Callithrix jacchus: one gene and its partner. The protein of the gene in region 1 interacts with the protein of each later gene in a pairwise test. Links are inferred from orthologs where the notes say so. Each region holds a gene or a part of one and is shown in the gene's direction. Other genes may lie near its edges.

Region 1 (4,944 bases):
CCACTTAGGAGGGCAGGCTGCCCCTGCAGTGGCACCTGCTGTTCTGACAGGGCGTGAAGTGGGGGACCGAGCGTTAATGGGAGCCTTGCCTGGGTGGCTGTCAGTGAAGGGGTGGAGTGTGTTGGGACTCACCAGTGGGTCCCAAGCCCAGGTGACCTGCCAGCGTTCCACAGCAGCAGGTGGCAGAGGTGGGTGTGAACTCGGGTCTTGGTGCCCTCGGGGTGTTTTGGGGGATGTTCTAGTTTGAGGTTCCTCTGAGGCTGGGCAGATCTGGGAGACATGGTGCCTTCTCACGGAGCCGTGGTGTGCCACTGGCCAGGCCCTCCCTTGTCAGATCAGGCTGCGGGGGCGGGGGGGTGGTGATGGGCGCGTGGTGTGGCCCCTCCTCCTTGCCTCAGGACTGTCCCAGGTTTTTGGGAGTTGACCTGGTCCTGGAATTGTCTCTCCTCTGCCCATAGGGGTTGTATCCACTGTGGTCCCTGACTCTGCTCACAAGCTGTTCATCGGGGGCTTACCCAACTACCTAAATGATGACCAGGTAACCTCCCTGCCTCCCTCCAGTCCCCTCCCCACACCCTGCCCCACCTCAGCCCAGCCCTAATGGACTCTTGGCTGCTGTAGGTCAAAGAGCTGCTGACATCCTTCGGGCCCCTCAAGGCCTTCAACCTGGTCAAGGACAGTGCCACGGGGCTCTCCAAGGGCTACGCCTTCTGTGAGTACGTGGACATCAACGTCACGGATCAGGTGAGTCCCCAGTCCCTGGCCGCTGCCGCATCTGTCCTTCCCCGCTCTGTGCTGTTGCCAAGCTGTGGTCTCCCCTCCTCAGGGGACGGGGCGGGAGGCGGCCAACCTGAGGCAGTGCCCTGCGTGTGGGCTGGTCCCTTTCCCATGGTGTTGACTTTTTCCAGGCTCTTCATCCCCTTTGCCTTCCCCTCTTCCCCCACCAATGCCCCGGCTTGGGGGTAGGTGTTGGGCTCCAGATCCCTGACCCCACCTCTCCCCGCACCCCTCCACCCCTCGTCCTCCAAACACAGGCCATTGCGGGGCTGAACGGCATGCAGCTGGGGGATAAGAAGCTGCTTGTCCAGAGGGCGAGTGTGGGAGCCAAGAATGCCACGCTGGTGAGCCCCCCGGCACGTCATCTTCCATTGGCTCGAGGGCCCCCGGGGTTGGGAGGGGCTGGCTAGGGACAGGTGTTCCTGATCTCTCCCCCAGCATATATGGGAAGGCATTTGGGGGTCATTCAGTGCAGTGTTGCGGAGTGGGGCTTTAGGTGTTGAAGTGGAGAGCTGGCCTTTCCCCAGGGTGGGCATCCGAGGGGCACAGGCTTGAGCAGAGGGTGACTGGGTCTGGGCCCCCTGTGACACCCCTTCGTCCTCTGGCTCCACAGAGTACCATCAATCAGACACCTGTGACCCTGCAAGTGCCGGGGCTGATGAGCTCCCAGGTGCAGATGGGCGGCCACCCAACTGAGGTCCTGTGCCTCATGAACATGGTGCTGCCCGAGGAGCTGCTGGATGACGAGGAGTATGAGGAGATCGTGGAGGACGTGCGTGACGAGTGCAGCAAGTACGGGCTGGTCAAGTCCATCGAGATCCCCCGGCCCGTGGACGGTGTCGAGGTGCCTGGCTGCGGAAAGGTCAGGATGCCCCAGGCCCGCGCCCCACTTCCTCACCCTCTCCCCTTCTCCTCCTCTCCCTGCCCCCGCCTTCTTCCTGTTCTGTCTTCCCGTTCCTCTCCCTCTCTCCTGCTCTCCCTGTCTGGGTCTCCCTTTGCTTCACGAGCATAGGTGCCATCACTGTGTGCCGCCCTCAGGCCTGGCCATGGGAGATGTTGGTGACCCAGAGGGCGGTGTGGTCCTGTGGGGGCCCAGGGCCTGCAGGAGGGTCAGTAGCTGGGGAATGCAGCTCTGTATTTGTTTAGAGCTGGACTCTGCTCCTCCTCCTTAAGTGGTCTTGCTTGTGGAAATGGTTTTGCCTGGTTTGTGGAGCAGGGAAGAGTGCTGGGAACAGCCCCAGGACACCTGCTGGTGTCTCGTGTGTGCCAGGCACCCTGCTGAAGCTGTGTCTGTGCTCACCCGGAGCCCTCCCAGTAGCTCCTGAGCCCCATCGTGGGAGGAGACAGGCACAGTGGGGGCAGCTACACAGGGAGGTGTCAGGTTTTTGCAGTCTGATTTCAGAGCCCACCAAGTCCTGTTACCTCCAGCGCCGTGACAGGTGTCATCATCACCTCACCTTGTCTGCCTCTTGAGGCAGTGGTGAGGGCGTGTGTATGGAATTCCCATTGGACCAGGCTCTGAGACTTCAGTAATGAATAGCGGTCTCTTCCATCCTGTGCTGCTGAAGCCCTGGGGATGCAGCTGTTAGAGGGCACCCCTGTTGTGTTGAGTTGCAGCATTCCTGGGCATGTTCATTCAGGGGGGTCAAGGTCAAGAGGTGGCAGTGAGCAGGTGAGGGAGGGAGGTGGTGGGGCTGGGGCTGAGTGGTGGGCCTTGGAGGGCTGCGTGGGTCTTAGAAGGACCAGTTATTTTGAGCCAGATGGGAGGGAAGCTATTGAGAGGCCTCCAGTGTGGTCACACCTGGCAGATGGAAATGGCCCCATGTAGTGAGGTTGGGGGTGCAGAGGTACAGCAGGCACTTCCTTGCAGGGCAGGATGTGGATGAGCAGGAGGGCATGCCAGGAGCTGGAGGGTCGATGCTGCTGAAGTGGCCCAGGAGCCAGGGGTGTCGGGGCCAGGGCTGGCTCTGCAGGGCCAGACTGGGGAGGGCCTTCATATGTTGTGGAAGAGGCTCAGTTTCTCCCTGGAGTGGTGGGTTTTTTTAAAGAGAAAACAGGGCCGTGGTTCCATTTTTGAGGTGATTTTGGCTGCTGTTGAGAAAAGGAATGGTGGGGAGGTCTCCTGGTGACCTGATTTAAAGTAGTAGTAGCAGGGGATGGAGAGGGGTTGATAGATTCGAGACTCGGGCCTGGGAAGTGTGCACACTTTGGTGATTGGTGTGGAGGGAGGGAGAAGGCCTATGAGATACTCGGTGGCAGCTTTGATGGTGGGGATGCCAGGTGAAATGCAGGGGTGAGCAGGTGTGGGGCTAGCTGGCTTTGCGGTTTCTGAGACACCCAGTAGAGATGTCCAGCAACACTTAACTGGACAGGTCTGTGTTCCCAGTGTGAGGGCTGATGGTCGCAGGTCCGGCCTGGGATGTGGGAGTGCTTTGCCCAGGGAGAACAGGGTTGGGGAGGGCAGCTGGAGAGGTGGAAGGGGCATCTTACAGGAGCATGTGGAAGGCCAACGGCATCTCCTGCCCGCTGCGCTCCAGAGTACGGTATGTCAGGGCTGCTCAGGGCTGCCCTCTGGTGCTGGGATGGAGCTTGGCTCAGGCAGAAGCTGAGGAAACATTTGTGGGAACGAGGAGGAATGAAGAGACCCTGGCCTTTGGGATTAGCTGACCTGTTTTGCATATTAAGTGTATTGCATCTGCCAGGTGTGGTGGCGCATGCTTGTAATCCCAGCACTTTGGGAGGCCAAGGCTGGCAGATCACAAGGTCAGGAGTTCAAGACCAGCCTGGCTAATGTGGTGAAACCCCATCTGTATTAAAAGTACAAAAATTAGCTGGGTGTGGTGGTGCATGCCTGTAATCCTAGCTGCTTGAGAGTCTGAGGCAGGAGAATTACTTGAAACCAGGAGGCAGAGGTTGCAGTGAGTCAGAGATTGTACCACTGCACTCTAGCCTGGGCGACAGAGCAAGACTCTGTCTCAGAAAAAAAAAAAAAAATGCGTCTTATTTATTACATTTTTTTTGTTACTTATCTTTGCAAATATATTTAAAAGCAGAGACTGTGATAGTAATATATTTTTATCATAGTATATGTGGTAATATTTTGGTTTACCTTTACCTGGCTTCAAGTTGCCAATATTTTTGTCATTCTTTTTATATTTAGCTAATTTCTCCCGCCGCCTCTTTTTTTCTTTGCTGGATAAAGAATGTCAGATATATTTCTCCTGAGGTCCTTAAGTATGTTTCTCTGAATTCTCAGCTTTGGGTCACATAACTTCTCTGTGGGGGTCTATGCTGTATGTTGTAGGGTGTTGAGAGGCATCATCCCCAGTCTCCACCCATCAAGTGCAGAAGCACTACTCCCTGCTTTGAGATAACCAAAAGCATCTCTAGACATTGCTCAGTGTTCCCTGGGGACACGCCCCTCTCCCCTCCCCCAGTTGACAACCACTGCTCTAACCAGATAACCTTAAAAAATTGTTTTTTAACAAAACCACAATAGCATGATTAATTAGCAAAATTAAGTTTTCAGTGCCTAGTCCATGTTCAAAGGTTTCTGACTCAAGAATACTTGTTTGTTTCCGATTCCTAATTTCCGAGCATCACTTACTTCATTTATTGTTGGGAGAACATGGCTGTTGGGGTGGTTCTGGGAGCGCCCACCGTGATGGCTGGTGTGGAGTAGACACTCAGCACGAGGGACCCCTGGGGTAGGGGTGGTGAGCTTGCCTCTGCCTCTGCCTTCCGCCTGCCCTCTGTGGCTCTGCTGATTCTCTATGCCTGTGGTGTGTCTGTGCTCTTGTTTTTTGATCTTGCAGGATGTTTGGGTGAATTCCACCAAACCTCCACTAAGGGTCCCTTTCTGACGCCTGTGGCAAAGCCCCTTCCTCCCTGCCCCTTCCTGCGTTCAGTTCTGGGTTTGGGTGGATGCTGGCTGGCCACTGGGTGTGAGCCTTGTTCACAAACCTGCCTTTGTTTTCCCCGCAGATCTTTGTGGAGTTCACCTCTGTGTTTGACTGCCAGAAAGCCATGCAGGGCCTGACAGGCCGCAAGTTCGCCAACAGAGTGGTTGTCACAAAATACTGTGACCCCGACTCTTATCACCGCCGGGACTTCTGGTAGAGGCGGCCGGGGGAGGGTGGGGGCAGGGCTGGCTGGGGGCTGTTCCCC
Region 2 (4,944 bases), about 31 Mb from region 1:
ACACTGTAGATATTGTTTTATATCCTGCTCTTTTGTTTTTCCTTTAACATTGTGTTTGATTGTCTAAAATTTCAACTTTTCAGGGCTGCCGCATCTTCCCTGTGGATGGCCCATAATTTATTTAACCAGTGCCCCCTGTTGACTTATTTAGGTTATTCATTTTTAGTTCATTGGTATTTCTTTTTCCTTTTTAAAGGAAAAGGCTAGCCCCGTGGTCTCCATGAGCTTTTACCACCTTTGGGTACATCCATATGGTGGATCATGTGGGTTTAAAAAGCAGTGTGTCTGAGGAATTTGAGATTGGAGCAGGATGGTGTGCTATAGTAGGAAATAGAAGAGGTAGAATGTGTGCTGTGATCACAATCTTATTTCCTCTGACTTCTAATTTAGAGAGCCAAATAAAGACATACCAGTGTTAATAGTGGTTGTTAAAAGTAGGGAGACTTAGTTGGGTTTTCCCATTCCTTTCTGTGTTTCAGTTTTTCTTTTCTTTTCTTTTCTTTTTTTTTGAAATGGTCCTACTTTGTCACCTAGGCTGGAGTGCAGTGGCACGATTGCAGCTTACCGCAGCCTCGACATCCTGGGTTCTGGTGATCCTCTATAGATCCGGGACTATAGACATGTGCCATCACACCCAGCTAATTTTTTGTATTCTTTGTAGAGATGGGGTTTTCTCCATACTTCCCGGGCTTATTTCAGTTTTTCTACATTGCCATTTGTTCCATAATGAGCCTCTATTACTTTTTTTTTTAAAAAAGAGACAAGATCTCACTCTGTTGCCCATGCTGAAGTATAGTGGTATGATCATACATCATGGTAGCCTCAAACTCCTGGGCTCAAGCGATTCTCCTGTCTCAGTCTCCTGAGTAGCTGGGATTACAAGGATGAGCCACCATGTTTAGCCAAAGCCTGTGTTTCTTTACCCATGTGTGCCTGCAGCTCAGAGCTGGGGGTCTGCAAAGCATCATACATTTCTAAGGAAACAGCCAAAGCAATCTTGCTGGAAGAATCACAGTGTATTTTGTATTTTTTTTTTTTAGATGGAGTTTTGCTCTTGTTACCCAGGCTGGAGTGCAATGGCACGATCTCGGCTCACCGCAACCTCCGCCTCCTGAGTTCAGGCAATACTCCTGCCTCAGCCTCCTGAGTAGCTGGGATTACAGGCACGTGCCACCGTGCCCAGCTAATTTTTTGTATTTTTAGTAGAGATGGGATTTCACCATGTTGACCGGGATGGTCTCGATCTGTTGACCTCGTGATCTACCCACCTCGGCCTTCCAAAGTGCTGGGATTACAGGTTTGAGCCACCGCGCCCAGCCTATTTTGTATTTTATCTCTACTCTCTCCCTCTTTTTTTTTCCAAAATATGTGTATAACTTTTTTAAAAATAACAAGTCAACACAAAGGCAAACCAAAGGGCCTACATATATTTAAATCAGAGCTGGGCACTGCTGATATGCTGTTGTCAGAGCTGCCCTTCCTGCCTGTCAGAAAATGGCATTGGCTAGGAACGGTGTCACATGCCTGTAGTCCTAGTGACTTGGGAGGCTAAGATGGGACCCTTACTTGAGGCCAGGAGTTCAAGACCAGCCTGGACAATATAGTAAGACCTTATCTCTACCCTCCCCTTGCAAAAAATAATTAAATTGAAATATCATCCAGGCATGGTGTCACCTGCCAGTAGTCCCTGTTTTCGCACCATTGCACTCTGTACTTTAGCCTGGGCAACGGAGCAAGACCCTGTCTCTTAAAAATAAATAGGTTGGATGCAGTGGCTCATGCCTGTGATCCCAACACTTTGGGAGGTTGAGGTGGTAGGATCACTTGAGGTTAGAAGTTCGAGACCAGTGTGGCCAACATAGTGAAACCCTGTCTCTACTAAAAAGACAAAAATTAGCCAGGCGTGGTGATGCACGCCTATAATCCCAGCTGCCCGGGAGGCTGAGGCACGAGAATCTTTTGAGCCCAGGTGGAGGAGGTTGCAGTGAACCAAGATTGCGCCACTGTACTCCAGCCTGGGTGACAGTGAAACTGCGTCTCAAATAAACAAATGAATGAATAAATAAATAGAGACATGTAAGCCCTGCCTTGGAGAACTCTAAGGTCTAGCAGGGGGACAGATGTGAGTCAGTAACAACCCAGTTTAACTAGCAAGGGAGGACAGGTGCTGTGCAGAAAGAGAGAAGGAACCGTCTTGTCCAAGGGCCATTTGGACCTGGAGATTCAATATTCAGGCAGAGATAATACATGGAGTAGTGCTCTTATCAGAACAAGATTGTTCCTAGCTTACGGTACCAAAGCCTGCTGTGTGCACTTTGCAGTATCTCCCGAAATCTCCGGGCACCAGTTTGTGGTCCCGGTAGGTGAGAATGCTGCAGTGAGTGAGGGGCCGTGATGGGCGAGGCAGTGGCCTCATCCTCATTCTTGTCTTCTGGTGCCCTCACTGCTCCTCTAGCTGGCTCACCCTCTCTATCCTCTGTCTTCGTTCTAGAATCACAAACGCACACAACTCTTCTTGCGTTTCCAACAAGTTTGCCAATGATGGCAGCTTCCTGCAGCAGTTTCTGAAGTTGCAGAAGTCACAGACCAGCACAGGTGAGTGTAGGCCTCCTGTTCCTTGGTGCTGCCCTCGCATCTCCCCCTGGGGTTGCTGGGCACGTGGGAAGTGATGGGTCACACCTCAGAATCCTTCTGTTCACCTCTAATCAAAGAGCCCCCTCATTCCATCATGCTTGCACCAAAGGCATAAATAAATAACTAATACATAAATAATTTTTGTTTTTTGAGATAGGATCTCAGTCTGTTGCTCAGGCTGGAATACAGTGGCTCAATCATAGCTCACTGCAGCTTTGACCTCTGGGACTCAAGCAAACCTTCCACCTTAGCCTCCCTGTGGCTGGGACTACAGGACACACCATCATACCTGGCTAATTTTTGTATTTTTTTTGTAGAGTTGGGATTTCATCACATTGTCCAGGCTGGTCTTGGACTCCTAAGCTCAAGCCATTCACCTGTCTCAGCCTCCCAAAGTGCTGGGATTACAGGCCACTGTACCCAGCCCAAATAATAAATATGTAAATTAATACCAGGGGGCAAATGTAGACCCCACAGTCAGGGTGTTTATCCTGTAGAAGCAGAGACAGATGAGTCAGGTGAGGCCGTGTTCAAGCCCTCCCCATGCTTGTGGGACCACTTTGGGAGATGGGAGGCATCTCCATACTGGGTCAGCTTGAACCCACCAGCAGGGGTGAGCAGGTCTTCTGTAGATGGGGTTTGCAGGGGCACTGGGCTGGCTTGAGACTCCTGAGCTGCATCAGAGAACAGCAGGTTCTGGGGCTCTTGCTGCAGCTGAGGTGCCCGGTGGGCAGGCAGTCATGGGTGCCCAACAGTGACCACTGGGGCACTGGTGTTTATCAGGTACCACCCTGTGTGCCAGGGAATATGGACTCAGTGCCTGCCATTTCCCTTGCTCTGTGCAAGCAGATGATGCCTGTGCTCTCACTGAATCCTCTGAAGGGACACCTCTCTCTACCTCTGTTTCTCTTTGGTAGACATCTGACAACACACATCATTGTCTCTTCACTCAGAATTCATAGATGTTGGCACAGTGGCTCACGCCTATGATCCCAGCACTTTGAGAGGCCGAAGGGGGCAGGATCGCTTGAGCTTGGGAGTTCAGGACCAGCCTGGGCAAAATGGCTAAACCTACTCTCTACAAAAAAAATACAAAAGATCAGCCAGGCATGGTCGTGTGTGCCTTTAGTCCCAGTGACTGGGTAGGCTGAAATGGGTGGATTGCTTTTGGTCCTGGGAGGTGGAGGTAAGAGTGAGTGAAGATCATGTCAGTGTACTCCAGCCTGGGTGGACAGCAAGACCCTATCTCAAAAAGGAAAAATAATCATAGATGTAACATTTTGCCTTTGAGACTTCTGATCTTTTTTAATCATGAAAAATACTCTGTGGGCACAACGGCTCACACCTGTAATCCCAGCACTTTGGGAGGCCAAGGTGTGCGGATCACTTGAGGTCAGGAGTTTGAGACCAGCTTGGCTAACATTGTGAAACCCCGTCTCTACTAAAAAATTAGCCAGGTGTGGTGGCGCACCCCTGTAATCCCAGCTACTCAGGAGGCTAAGGCAGGCAAATTGCTGGAACCTGAGAGGCGGAGGTTACAGTGAGCTGAGTTTGTGCCACTGCACTCCAGCCTAGGCAACAGAACAAGACTTCATCTGGAAAAGAAAAAAAAGAAAAATACCTGAGATTGGAGTCTTCCCGTCTCCCTTTCTTACAGCAAGTAATTGTTTAGAAATTGTGTTTCGACAACCCCCGTTGTCCTGTCAGGCAAGCAGTGTGTGCCATTATTTTGGATGTTTGACCCTTTACCCAGATGATGACATACCGTGCATTTTGTTCCATGCTTTTTTTTCTCCCACTCGAGGTGAATTTTTAGGTTTAAGTGGTCCATCTAAATCTCTCTCACTGAGTTCTGTAAGCAGCTGATTGTCTCCATTTCCATGCTTTCCATTTTGGAAGCTGAGGCTTAAAAAGATGAAGCCCTTGCTAGGCATGATGGCTCACATCTGTAATCCCTTTGGAAGGCTGAGGTGGGGGGATTGCTTGAATCCAAGAGTGTGAGACAAGCCTGGACAACACAGGAAGAATCCATCTCTGCAAAAAATAAAAATAAAATTAACCAGTCATGGTGGCATGCCTCTGTAGTCCCAGCTACTCTGGAGGCTGAGACAGGACGATTGCTTGAGCCCAGGAGTTCAGGAGGTCGAGACTGCAGTGAACCATGATTGCACCACTGTACTTCAACCTGGTTAACAAACTAAGACCCTGTCATTAAAAAAAAACGATGAGGCTCCCAAGTGCAGAGCTAGCCTCTGTCGTGATCAGTGGGGCCTTGGTCCTGCTCTCAGGGTGGTGAGCTGGCCAGTTTCA

What was found.
Region 2: the proteins of U2AF2 (region 1) and SUGP1 interact in binary tests that used the Homo sapiens proteins (3 or more experiments, as listed by UniProt). The link is inferred for Callithrix jacchus from reciprocal best matches to the Homo sapiens genes U2AF2 and SUGP1.

Annotation. Positions count from the first base shown.
Region 1 is NC_133523.1:48,531,713-48,536,656, forward strand, and holds part of U2AF2 (splicing factor U2AF 65 kDa subunit), read left to right. Parts: intron 1-458; coding exon 459-538; intron 539-621; coding exon 622-744; intron 745-1,034; coding exon 1,035-1,133; intron 1,134-1,390; coding exon 1,391-1,639; intron 1,640-4,761; coding exon 4,762-4,896; 3' UTR 4,897-4,944. UniProt on the Homo sapiens protein: Plays a role in pre-mRNA splicing and 3'-end processing. By recruiting PRPF19 and the PRP19C/Prp19 complex/NTC/Nineteen complex to the RNA polymerase II C-terminal domain (CTD), and thereby pre-mRNA, may couple transcription to splicing.
Region 2 is NC_133523.1:17,991,227-17,996,170, reverse strand, and holds part of SUGP1 (SURP and G-patch domain-containing protein 1), read left to right. Parts: intron 1-2,491; coding exon 2,492-2,595; intron 2,596-4,944.